Linked DNA regions of Drosophila melanogaster. Changing the gene in region 2 together with the main gene of any one other region gives a genetic interaction. Each region holds a gene or a part of one and is shown on either strand. Other genes may lie near its edges.

Evidence for each region. A genetic interaction does not mean that the proteins touch.
Region 1: of norpA (region 2) and ninaE, changing one suppresses a phenotype caused by changing the other (phenotypic suppression), as found in Drosophila melanogaster (3 studies listed by BioGRID).
Region 3: of norpA (region 2) and Arr2, changing one suppresses a phenotype caused by changing the other (phenotypic suppression), as found in Drosophila melanogaster (3 studies listed by BioGRID).

The regions. Positions count from the first base shown.
Region 1 is NT_033777.3:19,885,643-19,890,145, forward strand, and holds ninaE (neither inactivation nor afterpotential E), read right to left. Parts: upstream 2,565-4,503; 5' UTR 2,389-2,564; coding exon 2,381-2,388; intron 2,318-2,380; coding exon 1,757-2,317; intron 1,582-1,756; coding exon 1,434-1,581; intron 1,376-1,433; coding exon 1,098-1,375; intron 1,030-1,097; coding exon 903-1,029; 3' UTR 613-902; downstream 1-612. Other genes in the region: Ask1 (apoptotic signal-regulating kinase 1), read left to right, coding at 1-89. UniProt on the Drosophila melanogaster protein: Visual pigments are the light-absorbing molecules that mediate vision. They consist of an apoprotein, opsin, covalently linked to cis-retinal.
Region 2 is NC_004354.4:4,320,757-4,325,630, reverse strand, and holds the start of norpA (no receptor potential A), read right to left. Parts: upstream 3,006-4,874; 5' UTR 2,476-3,005; intron 2,023-2,475; exon of another isoform or gene 1,830-2,022; intron 284-1,829; 5' UTR 15-283; intron 1-14. Other genes in the region: mRpL33 (mitochondrial ribosomal protein L33), read left to right, coding at 3,500-3,540, 3,597-3,700, 3,764-3,813; NO66 (nucleolar protein 66), read right to left, coding at 4,042-4,874. UniProt on the Drosophila melanogaster protein: The production of the second messenger molecules diacylglycerol (DAG) and inositol 1,4,5-trisphosphate (IP3) is mediated by activated phosphatidylinositol-specific phospholipase C enzymes. Essential component of the phototransduction pathway.
Region 3 is NT_037436.4:8,646,649-8,650,593, forward strand, and holds Arr2 (arrestin 2), read right to left. Parts: upstream 2,289-3,945; 5' UTR 2,178-2,288; coding exon 1,322-2,177; intron 1,255-1,321; coding exon 1,060-1,254; intron 998-1,059; coding exon 843-997; 3' UTR 613-842; downstream 1-612. Other genes in the region: Pex7 (peroxin 7), read left to right, coding at 2,899-2,990, 3,059-3,811, 3,894-3,945. UniProt on the Drosophila melanogaster protein: Regulates photoreceptor cell deactivation. Arr1 and Arr2 proteins are mediators of rhodopsin inactivation and are essential for the termination of the phototransduction cascade.

The DNA.
Region 1 (4,503 bases), on a different chromosome or scaffold from region 2:
CATCACCCACAACCACAACTCCCGGAACGCCGGGCATCAAAACGAAAATCAAGAAAAGCGAAAGCGAGTACGATTCGTGCAGCGAGTGACTGGAGTTGAAAGCTTTCTGAGTTGTGCCTTTACAGATACTACTGATTAATTGTTAATGTTCTCCATGTGCTACTAACCGCTGCGAGGCTCAGCTCAATGAGTCTCCAGCAGCCCTGGGTTAAGTTCTCCCATGCTGACTCATGTCTTTTCAACTTTGAGTTCGAAAAGGCGTTGTCTGTGTGTCCAGTTTTAACGATTGCATGTTAACTTATAAAAATGGAATTTACATAAGTGCCTTTAATTTAAAAAAAAAAGAAAACAAAAACTGAAATAGATAATATATTGTGAAGTGCTTTGCAAAAAAGGGGTATTTCTTGTTAACTGGAAAGGATTTATAGCTTCTGAAGAAGACTATTATACATATAAGAATGAATAAACTCAAATTTGTTGTGGTTCTCCAAACTTTAAAGGCGAAAGATAACCGAAAGTTGATATCCGAACTTTTGTAGGTTCGTCATTAGGGTTTTTCCACGCTAAAAGCTGCTTTTGTTAGATATACTATGTTTTGAAAAGGCTCATTTTAATTTATAACTTTTCTAGTTCGTTTGCATTTATTTTTTTTGTTGAGTTTTTTTTTGTCCTTAACTGACATTGCAGGAAATTTAATAACTGAGTTTACATTGCTTTTTGTTATGTAAGAAAGTTGCATAATTTTTTCATTATTGTTGAAGTTTTTGATGTTATTCGAAAGCGTTTCGTTCTGTTGCTGCAGTTGTTCTTGCTGTTGTTTTTGTTGCTGTTGTTGTTGCTGTTGTAAGTAGTTAGATGTTCTTGTTGTTGTTGTTGCTGTTCTGGTTGTTGCGCCAAAGAATTTATGCCTTGGACTCGGCCTCGCTGGCGGTGGCCTGCGATTGGGCATCGCTCGATTTGCCATCGTCGACCTTGCCAAAGACGCAGCAAGGACACTTCTCCTTGAGGGCCAGGCGATATTTCGGATGGCTATACGGAATGAAAATAAAAAATTGGTTAAATATTAAGGTATATACGTTTCATAGCCCATAACCAACCTGATGCCGTATACAATTGGATTGTAGCAGGCGGCCGATTTGGCGAAGCAAGCTCCCCAAATGGTATTCAGTGGTGTAAGGCCCTCGAACTTGAACAGTCCCATGCAGTTGATGACCAGGTATGGTGTCCACGCCATGAACCACAGCGTGATGGTGACCAGAGCCACCTTGGCCAGCTTGCCCTCGGCGCTCTTCTCGGCATCCTCAGAGGAGCGGAGGGACTTGACATTCATCTTCTTGGCCTGCTCGCGCATGGCCTTCTCGTGGGCGGAGACAGCCTGTGGGAGGATATATCGGGTTAAGCGACTGGGATATGCGAGTCTCGTCGCCACTTACAGCAATGATGAACCAGTAAGAGTAGCAGATCAGGAACAGCGGAATATAGTACACGAAGATGGAGTAGAAGATCAGGTATGAGCGTGGGTTCCAGTCGCGTTCCAAGTAGTCAATACCGCACGAGGTCAGGTTACCCTCCGGCACATACCTTTTAGATTAAGAATATATATTTATAGGATAATGTTAGGTGGTAATAATATTAATACAATTGTAATTTGTAAACCTTTTGTTTGTAATTTAAGTTTTTAAACATTTGTATATAGTAGCTTTGATCATTTTTTAAAAAATGGGTTCCCAGAAGGTTTACCATTTCAAGGACTCACCTGCTCCAGCCGAAGGCGGGCGCCAGGCACCAAATGCTCGACATGAACCAGATGTAGGCAATCTTGCCCAGGGCCAGCGGAATGGTCATCGGCCGGCCGGCCATGCCCTTGACGATCACTTGGTAGCGATCCAGGGAGATCATGCACATGGACCAGATGGAGCTGCAGCCAAAGGCCGAGCCCAGTCCGGCGTATATGTCGCACATCATGGGTCCGAGCACCCAGGTCTCGAAATACAGATTTATGCCCATCATGGGCGTGTTTGTGATCATGATGCCAAAGTCGGAGATGGCCAGGTTGATGACCAGCAGGTTAGCGGGCGTGCGCAGTGATTTGGTGGTGGCGAATATGTAGATCACCACGCCATTTCCGCACCAGGAAATCATGCCGATCATGATCATGTAGGCGGTCAGGATCTTGGCCCAAATGGGGTCCATGGCGGGGAACTGGTTCCAGTACGGGCTGATCAGGTGGGCCATGTCGGGCGTGACCTTGTCCACCACCGATCCATTGGACAGGGGGGCAAAGTGTGGCCCCAGTTGCGCGGCTGCTACTGCAAAGCTGCAACACCGAAGCAAATGTTAAATTGCTAACCAGAACATCCAGTGGATCCACCGATCGTACCTCTCCATTGTGTTTTGGTTACTGGCTGCGTCACTATATCCCGCCTATATCACACTGTCTACATAAAAAGCTGCAAATTCACTAACAATATTTCTAACACTTTTTACATAAAGGGTTCCTGGATTCTGAATATTTCACTGGGGCGGACTAGTCGCGGCGATTGGTCGTTGGAAACCTGCAATGTCTGCATTCTGCCGCATGGCTTTTATAGTTTTCGCGGTGCTCGTGTAACCCCTGCTCTTGAAATTCAATTAGGCCAGCCTAAAAATATGTCTGCAATGTGCAGAGGAAAGTGTCGACAGCTTTTGGCTTATAATCATAATATCCATAACGAAAGCAAGCGCACATCGCAATGGGCCAATGTCAATAGTTAAAGGCATTTCAAGGGTTTCCACTGGGGGTTCTGGCCGAGTATTATTCTTGAGTCTCCAGATTGTGCAGAAAGCAATGGCGAAAGTCAGCGATTTAATGTGTCAATGCCTAGACAAATTTGAAGAATATTATGAAAACATATCGTAGCAGAAGAAATATCAGTATCGTTCGCCTGCGACACCAGTGCGTATGCGCAATCAAGTATACGCAGTGTGTGCGCCGATGAACGCACATCTTGAGGGCTCTGCTAATCTTGGATTATCTTAAAAAGAATGCCAGCTTTTGGAAGTAGTAAAATAATCTATTTAAATTAAGAATATGAACACCCCAGACGCTAAGCCGCTTATGGATTTTTTGTGCTGATTGATCTTTTCGCACCTCCATTGAATTTTCCGAACATGTTTTGTTTCTTTTCTTTTTGGTGTGGGCAGCTTGGATTTTATTTTGTCAGTCCAGCTTTGGCATAAAAGCCTTTTGTTCGCCTTTGTGCGATGGCTCAACACATCAGCTTGAATTGGGTCAAGTTTTAGGCTAATCCAAATGGCCAAATGGGATGCCACGCTTTGCGCCCAACCCAAATATGGAACTAAACCGAAATAACTGTCAGCTGGTGTGACAGTCGACACATGTCGGCAGATCTTTCGGTTTAAATCAATTACACACCGCAAAACAATACAAAAAAAGCGCAGGTAATAAATATTCATATAAAGTTAGCCAGCGCAAAAAACTAACAAAAATACCGAGGCGCAAAACCGGAAGCTGCGCTCATATCGCCATTATCATTACCATCAATTTGATCATCATGATCATTATATTGGCGTCATCGTTAGCCGCACTTGCGGTTCCCATACTTACGTATTTACCTACAGTTCTGTGTATGCATATATACAAATAATCTGGGTATAAACCATGAATCGCATTTCAATTTATTCGGCATTTTCGGGTTTCGCTAAACAACAAAAGTCCCCCGCCCACCTGCTAGATGGCCCAAACATAAAAGCCAAGTAACGAAATGGGTATAGCAACAACAGAGACATATGGACAAGCCAACTTGCAACAAACATTGCGATGTGAAGTGGAAGAAGGCCGCCGAAGGCGGGGAAGAAGACGATCATTTAGCATTAGCAAATAAGCGAGATAAACGCTGCGATCCGTAGACGTTGTTATTGTTGGGGAATTTGTTGTTTTCCTGCTCAATGAGGCGGGCAAATTTGAAACTAGAGAGGCAGAACCAAACTTACCCGGCACTTTGAATGCCCTTCTCTGTAATATTTAATACGACAATAATACATTTATGTTGATCGTGTATTGATAACGATAAAGATTTGAGTTCGGGGTGTATGTACCTGAAAGTATGCTCTGTATATTTCACGAATTTAATAAGTAAGTAAAGTATAAGTAAGTATAATATAATATGCTTATAATATAATATTATTATTATATTCAAATAATAGCGTTTTATTATAATACCTGGTATTTACGTGACATGTCCAAACTTCTCAAACGAACCGTGACACCCTGGCTCCAGGGCACAGTGTATAATTAACAAACACCTATGATTTGATTTTTGTATTTTTATGTTCGACAATGGATTCGCGCTCGCCAGTGTGAGTGACGCGTGTGTGAGTGTGCGTGTGAGTGGGTAAACGGCGGCAAGTGTTCTGCCGACGTCGCTGCCGCTGCGCCGTCGTGTGGGGGTAGGTGAGAGCGCAGAGAGAGAGAGCGAGAGGATGATGGAGCGGCTGCTCAAA
Region 2 (4,874 bases):
TGTGTTTAACTTACGTAGATATGTATTTAATTAATTGGCTTCGGCTTTTGTTGTTCCTGCTTTTGCTACCTATTTTTGTTTGTTATTCTTGTTTATTTATATTTGTTTGTTTTTTCCCGCCTTGCGAATTTCAGTTTGAAGAGCATTGCAAGATTTACAGTTTGATCAGTCGGCTGTCGCACTCTCTCGCTCTCTCCACGTTTCCTTAAGTTTACTCACAACAGGTAACACTGTATTTGGTTGCACTTGTTTTTTTTATTTTTTGTATTTCAGCTCACAGCCACTGCAAAAAATATGCGATTGCTGTGAAAATGTACACACATAAAAAAAAGAAAAAGAAATAGAACAGGTAATAATAATACAATGGGTAAACATGCGGCAAACAAAACCGAAACTGACACCAAAACGAAACACGTTGCCGTTTCGCTCTCTCTCCGTGCCGTGTTCCCTTGTTTATCGCGGATTATATTATGCGAGCGGACTAACGGGAAAAGCTCCGGCGGACGACCACTGACCAACTGAGAACGGAGAGCCAGCAACGGAGAACTTTTATCTCAAGTACAGTGGGGCCTTTTTGTGCAGACGGATAAGTGCTGATTTAAATAATTAATCTGCATATGAATATATTGAACAAACTAAACTGCTCTATAAATGCTATGAAACTAAACAGTACACATTGATGACTATCCACTTTTATGGCCAGCTATATACGTGCGACGAATGACTACTGTACCGGCGCTCTCTGCTGCTCTTGCCCGCTCTTTCTGCGTGGGTGATGATCGTGCGAGAGAGCAAGTGCAAATATGATTATTGTTCCTTCGCCTGCCGTTCTCCTCTCCATTTCTTCCGCCCCATCATGCAGCCACACACCAATACCTATGGTGCGTTTGTGTGGGTGCGATGAGTGTGCGACGGCGTTCGCTTTAACGGTTTGTTTGTTATTTTATTATTATAGCTTTATTGCACAATCCCAGGCCACCCACCGCCCACTGGCACGCCCCCTTTCGCTCGGTTGCAGTTCAAACAAACAAAAGGAAATGAGGGAGAAGCATAATAAAGCTTCTGATCGCCACACTTGCCACAAAAAGTAAGCTACGTAGAACTACAGTAGAGCTTGAATAATGCACATTTGCAGCTTGGGCGAGAGATGGAAAATATGAGTATTTGCTAATTAACACCTACAAAATTAAAAAGAAAAAAAATGATAAAGCTAAATGGGAATTGGATGATTTAAAGTATTTGCGGCTCAATTTTTTTAAATTTGTTTTGTTTATCGGTCGTAAATCATTATTTTTTTTATTTTGAAATAACAGTGTCGAATAACTCAGTGATTTTACACTAAAGTTTAAATATTTTAAACTCTTAAATTTTTCGAGTAAAATATTGTATTGTTAACAGAAAAGTGAGCGTTTATAAAAAAATATCAATCTTACAAGCGATTCATGAATATGTTGTACCATGTCTTTTGTTTCTTTCAGTGCACAGTGGCTGCGTGGACGTCGACAGAGGGCAAAACAAGTGGCCGTCGTTAGTGCGAGCGAGACGCGGCGACCAAGTGCGGATGGGTGCGAGCGAGAGGGCTGGCGGACTGGCAAATTGTTGTTTGCTCTGCCGACGTCGTTTTTTGCGTGTGTAAATTTGAATACTTCAATTTTATGTGTGCTTTTCCCTCCCCACCACATATCCACACCATCCTAACAACAACAACCAGCACCTTGTGTTCGTGTTTGCGTCGGCGTGCGCGCAAGTAAATTTCTTCTAATTTAATATTTTGTTTATATTATTTATTCATATACTTATGTATTTGCGTAGCCCCTCCCACAACTAACCCTCCTTCGAGCACTTGTTTGTTTATGTATTTCACCTGCTCCTGCTCCGCTCCAGCCCACGTTTCGACCATTTCTTGCCCCTCGTCACGGCCAAGTTTACGTTTTTGGTAAATCATTTACAATTTGGATTTCCGATCGCTTTTCGAAAACCCCCTCTCGAAATATCAACAATCAAGCACTTTGCCAGATGCACAGAAAGAAACTGATGTGATTTCAATGGCTTACTAGCTGTTCGATATTTGATTAAGTTGATGTCTCTAAAGAAGGAAAACGTTTTCCACAACTTTTCTTCTTAAACTCGGAAAGCGATCTGCATGCAATCGAAAACTTTTACTGCAGTCTTTCATTCGTACAAATGCGCTACGAAAATAATTTAACAACTTACACATGGATCACATTACCACTTTTATCAATGAGTAATTGTAAATATTTGTTGAAAGCTATTTGAATTTTTGCCGTTAGTTTTTAGTGATTTATGTACTTAGGAACACACTGAATTCCAATGTGCAATTCCGGCAAATTGGCTACTAAGCGGGCTTTAAAAACTAATTTCGCTTCTGCAACCCTCAAAACAGAGAACTTTTGAATATGCAAATGCAAATCAACAAAAAACAAAAAAACGTATTTTTCGCAATCTGCCTCCTACCTTAGATTCTCCGCAGCTCCTCTCCACCTCCTTTTCACGCTCTTGTCTCTCTTTTGAAGCTTCCTTCGCGTTCGCGTTTGTTTGACTTTGATTCCGTTTGGTTGGTTTGTTTGTTGTTGCCACTCTTTGGCTGTTTCTGTTTTTATGTTGTTATCTCTTTCTTGTCAGCTTCTCTGCACTTTCAAAAAACAAACACTGTAAAAAAAAAATGAGTCTTGTTTACCACGCGCGAGTATGGGAAATTCTCGGGAAACCAACTCGTAAAAAAAATATTTAAAAGGGAAAACAAGAGCAGGGCAAGGCGAAAAGGAGTTACAGAAAGCGCGTGTGGCTGTGATTTATTTTATTATACGGTTTCGCCCACAAAGGACTTCACTGAGCTTTTAGTGCGTCTATGTTTTTCGTTCTATTTTTCCAAGGCTTCAGTTTTTTTACACGGAATTTTGACCGTTTTGTTTTTCGTTTGTTTTTATTTGTTGTCTGTTGTTGTTGGTTTCCGCAGCACAAATGAAAATTCGCGTCCGTTTCGCACGAGTGTTAGTGATGTAAAAAAGCATCGAATGCATTGACCACCGATGTTTCTCGACGATACATTTCAGTGCTTGCGCTTGGTATCGATTGGCTTCTGTTAACCTCAGTGGCACAGCTTGCAGTCTCTAGCACGGACTCAAACCTGTATGTTAACTTTTTAATATTTAATTGGCAGGGACTTCAACCAAAGATACATATGTGAATGACTTCTACTAACCACATTGCATCTGAGAGCTTTTTAGCAATTTCGAAAGGAAGGCTTTAAAACAGAGAGACATAAATGCATCAAATATAAATATAGTAATATTAAATATATACTCATCATACGTGGACACCGATTGTTTTTCAAAATATCCGGGTGAAAAGCTTGAGCCCTCGGGTGGTAATCGATAGGCGCAGTCAGCTGTTCTTCGTTCCTATCGTCTTGCTTGCACAATAATTTCAGCGGCATATTTCCATAATTCACTGCATTTTCCCCATTTACCGAATCAAAATGCGTCTAACTAACGTTTTGTTCAAAAAGGTGAAGAGCAAGTGAGTAATTTGGACATCCAATTTGTTCTTTTTGTTAAAACCAACCGTTTTTACAGGCGCATCATGGTCGTACTGGAAAGTGTGGTCAGTGGACATCAGTTTAATGCTTTTCGCGATCGCTTGGCCGACAAATTGGAGATAATACGCTTCGATCCGTACAGTGAGTGCCGGCCATCACTGACTTTATGCATATGCACTGATGTTGCCCATGTTTCTTTTTCAGTTCAACAGGAAAGCCTTTATCGTGAACGCAAGAAAATCCGCAGCGCCTAAGATAACCATTTTTTGTTAGTGAAAAAAATAAAATTTACAACTATTGGAAACACCAAAAAACAACCGAGATATATGTGCGAATGTGGGTGCTTTATTTTCGGCAGAATAGGAGCATTATAAATCTGGTTACATATTTATACAAAAATATTAATTTACGCTCGTTTTAGATACACATTCGCATCGATACTTAATTCTAATTATCAACAGCAACTCGCTTTCGATTGCCGTCTACTTAAACGGCTTCTCGGTCATAAGAAGACCATGCTCCCACAGGGCGGTGGCGACCTCTATCTTGCGAGCTGAAGACTCCAATGGCAACTGATCAATGGTGAGGTAAAATGGATAGGCCGATATGAGGAGCTCAACGGCTTTAGCTTCCTCTGGCAGAATCTCCATGAAATAGGGCTCGTACTTGCAGTAATCCAGGCCATTGTCCACATGGTGGTAGATACGCACGCTGCCATCGGACTCGGTCACCAGACGCAGAATGTTGGCACGCAGCAGGCGCACGGATGTCTTTTTATTGAATTTGTAATCGCAGACGCAGTTGCCCTGCTCATCGGCATCACTGCGTGCCCCATGAACAGTGCGCACCTCCTCCGAGGGCAATACGATCGGCGGAAGTGCCTCGTGCTGGAACTTCTTGGCCATCTGGTCGACGGCCTCATCAATATCATCTTCGGAGGGCATCAAGTAATTGGTCACCAGCTTCTGCACATTCTCCACCAGCTGTTTGCGCGACCCGCAGTCATTTCCCTTGTAGGCATTGCCCAAAACTTGAAAAGTGTGCAGCGGCAAGCCGCGACGCAAGGCCACACTCCGATCGACGGCCTTCTTAAGAACCATGGGCATTAGTGTCTCTAGAAGATTGGCATATGCCTGCTGTTGGTAAACACTCAAGGTAATGTGCAGCGAGTGCTGTTGCTCTTCGGTGATGGCCTGGTGAACAGCGCCTCTCGGGAAATATAGTACATCGCCGGCGCTTAGTACCTCATCAATTATGGGCTTACCCAGCTGCTCTTGATCATAGTTGCCCGACGAGATCCTGGCCAGTTGATCGG
Region 3 (3,945 bases), on a different chromosome or scaffold from region 2:
GTGTGAAATCGATCGACGCTGCTGCCCCGGATTGTGCAATGCTCCAACGGTCAGCTGCAGGGCTTATATAAGATATGGCAAATAAAATGCGAGAAAATTGTAAAATAGAAAAAACCAAAAAAAAGAGGAAAATCAGCTAGACTGACGGGGATGAGACCTAGAATCAAACTGCTGGCAGCTGGCGGCCTTAGCCATCATCAAGGTCAAAAGCTTGGGCTATTTAGCATACACAAAAATTGTGTATTTTGGCAAACGCATTGTCAACATCTGGAGCTTGGAACTTCCGTTGACCGTTAGAGCCGGCCATATCCAGTTCTGGTTGATCCTGATTGGTGGAACACATATCCTGGCAGCCTGTTGCTTCTTGCAAGGGGTTGAAAGCCTACGATGTGACCTATAAGCATTGGGCTTTTCAACCCCCTGTCATCGTTGAAAAATCACCCTTAGAATTCCTGCCAGCAGATCCTTCGTCGTCGAGCTGCGCAGTTGTTTAGATCATTCGACTTCTGAAGTTGAAACCCACAGCACCGCCAAGAACAATCCACTACCAAAAACCGAATCCTTACCGAATCACTTTTGGATACTACATCGCAAACGAGAGAAAAGGTGAGTGCTTTTGATAGCCATAACACATTTATAATATAGCGACACGAGGTCTGTTCAACTCATCAACATGCATATGTACGGGTACAAACTCCAGATCCACCAAAGTTACATTATAGATACGATTATAATACAAAGATTGTGGCCTCCACGAGAGACTGCTGCAACAAATTTTCAGTGCTTTCGATTTAGTTCAATTCGGTTCACAACAGAGCTAGAAGAGATTGAAGATCGGTGGCCTAGTCCGCCATGTTCACATTGTTCATGCGCATCTTGGCGAAGTCCTCGAATACAATATTATCGTCATCATCCTGGTAATAGCCCTTCACATTGCGGTGCTGCTCGATGGACTTCATTTTCTTCATGGCATTCGAGCGCTTCTTCTCAATGGTTCCTATACCACATCAAAGGAATTACAAACTAGAAGTCAAGTTCAAGTAATCTTCTAAAGCTTACCAGGTGCCGGTTGGAGTAGCTTGAAGGGCACATCCGTCTGCATTTCACCTCCCAGAGTGCCGCAGTTGAGCTTAATGCGCACCGAGTACGAGATGACAATACCACAGGCATCTCCCGTGGACTTGCCCTCCTGCACCATGGTGGATGAAGCCAGGTTGACATCCTCGTCCTTCAAGTGACCATCCAGGGCGATACCTGAGTTCACAATTAAATAATCCATTAGAAACTATCCAGAATCACAACTATCACATCCAAATCCTACCATGGCGATCCTTGTTGTTAGCCGCCAGCGGAATCAAGTAGAAGGTCTTGGTGAGATTGGCGCCCGGAGTGATGGGGCAGCCCTCCTTGGTCTCCAGCTGGGCCACATGCTTGCTGAACTGGGCGTTCACCATGGTGATCTCAGTGTGCTGCACAATGAAGCACTTGATGCTCTTCACGGACTTCTTGGAGTTGTTCGACACCTGGACGGTGGCAGCCGTCTTCTCGCCATGATAGTAGATCTCCCTGTCCAGCGTAACCTCCAGACTGATCTTGCCATTCGAGAAGGTGAATCCCTTGCTGACCAGCGAGCTGGGCAGACGCTGGCCACGATTGAGGGGAGCGTACTGCAGCTTCTTGATCACCAGACTGACCATGCTCCGCTTGTGCTGGCGATCGTCCTCGGAGTCGCCCACAAATGCCCGGATGGTGTACTCGACGCCCAGGGGCTTGCCATTGTCGTCGCCCTCCTGCTGCAGAGTAACGGAGCTGGGCGAATTGGGCGGGAAGTGGAAGGTGAACGGATAGGCGTTGCTGCCCAGTTTGCGGACCAGCTTCTCCTGCATCGGTGTCATCTCCATGTTGGGATTGGTCATGGGCACAATTTGCTCCCGGCACAGGATAAGCTCCTTGGAGAACTTCACTCCCATGACCTCGTCCTCCTCGCGACCATAGCGATAGGTGGTGGCCAGTTGGCCAAAGACTTTCCTGTTCTTTAGATAGTCCGGTTCCACCACAATCACTCCATCGACGGGATCACAGTAGTCGATGTGGTCGATGAAGTCGCGGCGTCCCAGATAAAAGGTGACCTTGCCGTTGGGCGTGGCCTTCTTAAAGACCTTCACGGATACAACCATTGTGGATTAGTGGATTTCTTTGATTCCTGGCAAATGCAACTGGGCAATTCGAGGCTAAGTCGGGCGATGCGCGTTATAGAGTTTTCCGTTCGGCGGAGGAAAATGCGAAACCCAAGTGCCGTACAACCTGCTTATATACCTTTGCCCTGGCCCTGTCCGTGGGTCTTCATTCTGGCCACTAACTGGATTTGCTCGTTATGCACTTGTTTGTTGGCTTGTCCAACACGACAATAAGATAGAACCATAGGAACTAAGGGAAAACTGCAAACAAGCTGCTTCCAGGGGTTGTTCTATTTTCTGCGCAGTTTGCCACTTGCCCGAGCAAATTGGCTAATGTCAAGTATCTTTTTCCGATTTTCCGACCTAGTACGAGGTCATTTGGCCAACTGTTGAATAATTGAGCATGGTAGGTTGGAGCTGGATTAGCATCCGATTTGGTGTTACCGGGTTGTTATCAATCGGCCAGTTTTGTTCTCTCTTAGCCAAACATCAGTGGGCAGCAAGGAGAAACCTTAGATGTTTTTAATTTTGTTATGTATCAAACGTCGATATATTGATTTTAATGTGAGAGGTATAATTGAAATTGGCATTTCTTACAACTAGCTTACCAAAGGTCGCAATTCATTGTAGTTAATGTTAGATAATATTTAAGGTCCAGAGAAATTGGTATTATTTTGAATCTCTCCTTTTTTTTTCTTTGCAGTTGAGATCTAGAACCAAGATGCAGACACAGACACACACCACCACAGACCGACATGGCTATAGCCTGCGCTTTTCGCCTTTCGAGGCTAACTACTTGCTGCTAGCTACAAGGTGAGATCAATCTTAAGCTCTAAAACCAACAATATACTAATAGAAAACCATTTTTTTTCGATACCCAGCCAACTGTACGGTCTTGCTGGAGGTGGTTCCCTCTTTCTGCTGGAACAGAACTCCAACACAAATTCCTCATCCACAGATGGCCAGAGTCTCGGAGAGCTGTGCCGCCTAGAGTGGTCCGATGGATTGTTCGACGTCGCCTGGTGTCCGTATGCCGCCGATATCGCCGCCACTGCCTCCGGAGATGGATCGCTTCAGATCTGGTGCGGATTGGATGGCGAATCGGCGAGCAACCAGCTGACGCCGAAACAGCCGCTGATCTGCCTGCAGGAGCACAAGAACGAGGTGTACAGCCTGGACTGGGGCGAGAAGTGGAACTACCACACGCTGCTCTCGGGCAGCTGGGATTGTACACTGAAATTGTGGGACTGCAACAGACAGAACTCCATCACCACATTTGTGGGCCACAACGATCTGATCTACGGGGCCAAGTTCTCGCCCCTGATCGCCAATCTGTTTGCAAGCGTAAGTACCGATGGACATCTTAACTTATGGAACTCTCTTGACTTTGCAGGTAAACCCCTGATGAGCATCGAGGCGCATGCGAGTGAGGCACTATGCTGCGACTGGTCGCACTTCGATCGCAATGTCCTGGTCACTGGAGGTTCGGACGGTCTGATCCGCGGCTGGGATCTGCGCAAGATGAGGACGCACGTCTTTGAGCTGTACTCTGGAGAATTCGCTGTCCGGCGATTGGCCTGTTCACCGCACTCGGCAGCGGTCTTGGCATCGGCCAATTATGATTTTACCACAAGGTAAGTGGAATGATCTTAGGCTTTCAAAAAACAGGACATTTTTATGGTTAGTAACAACTGTCCACTTTTGTCACCTTTTTAGGATTTGGAATCTGGAGCGTGGTGAGTCCGCCCAGGAGGTCAATGCGCGGCAC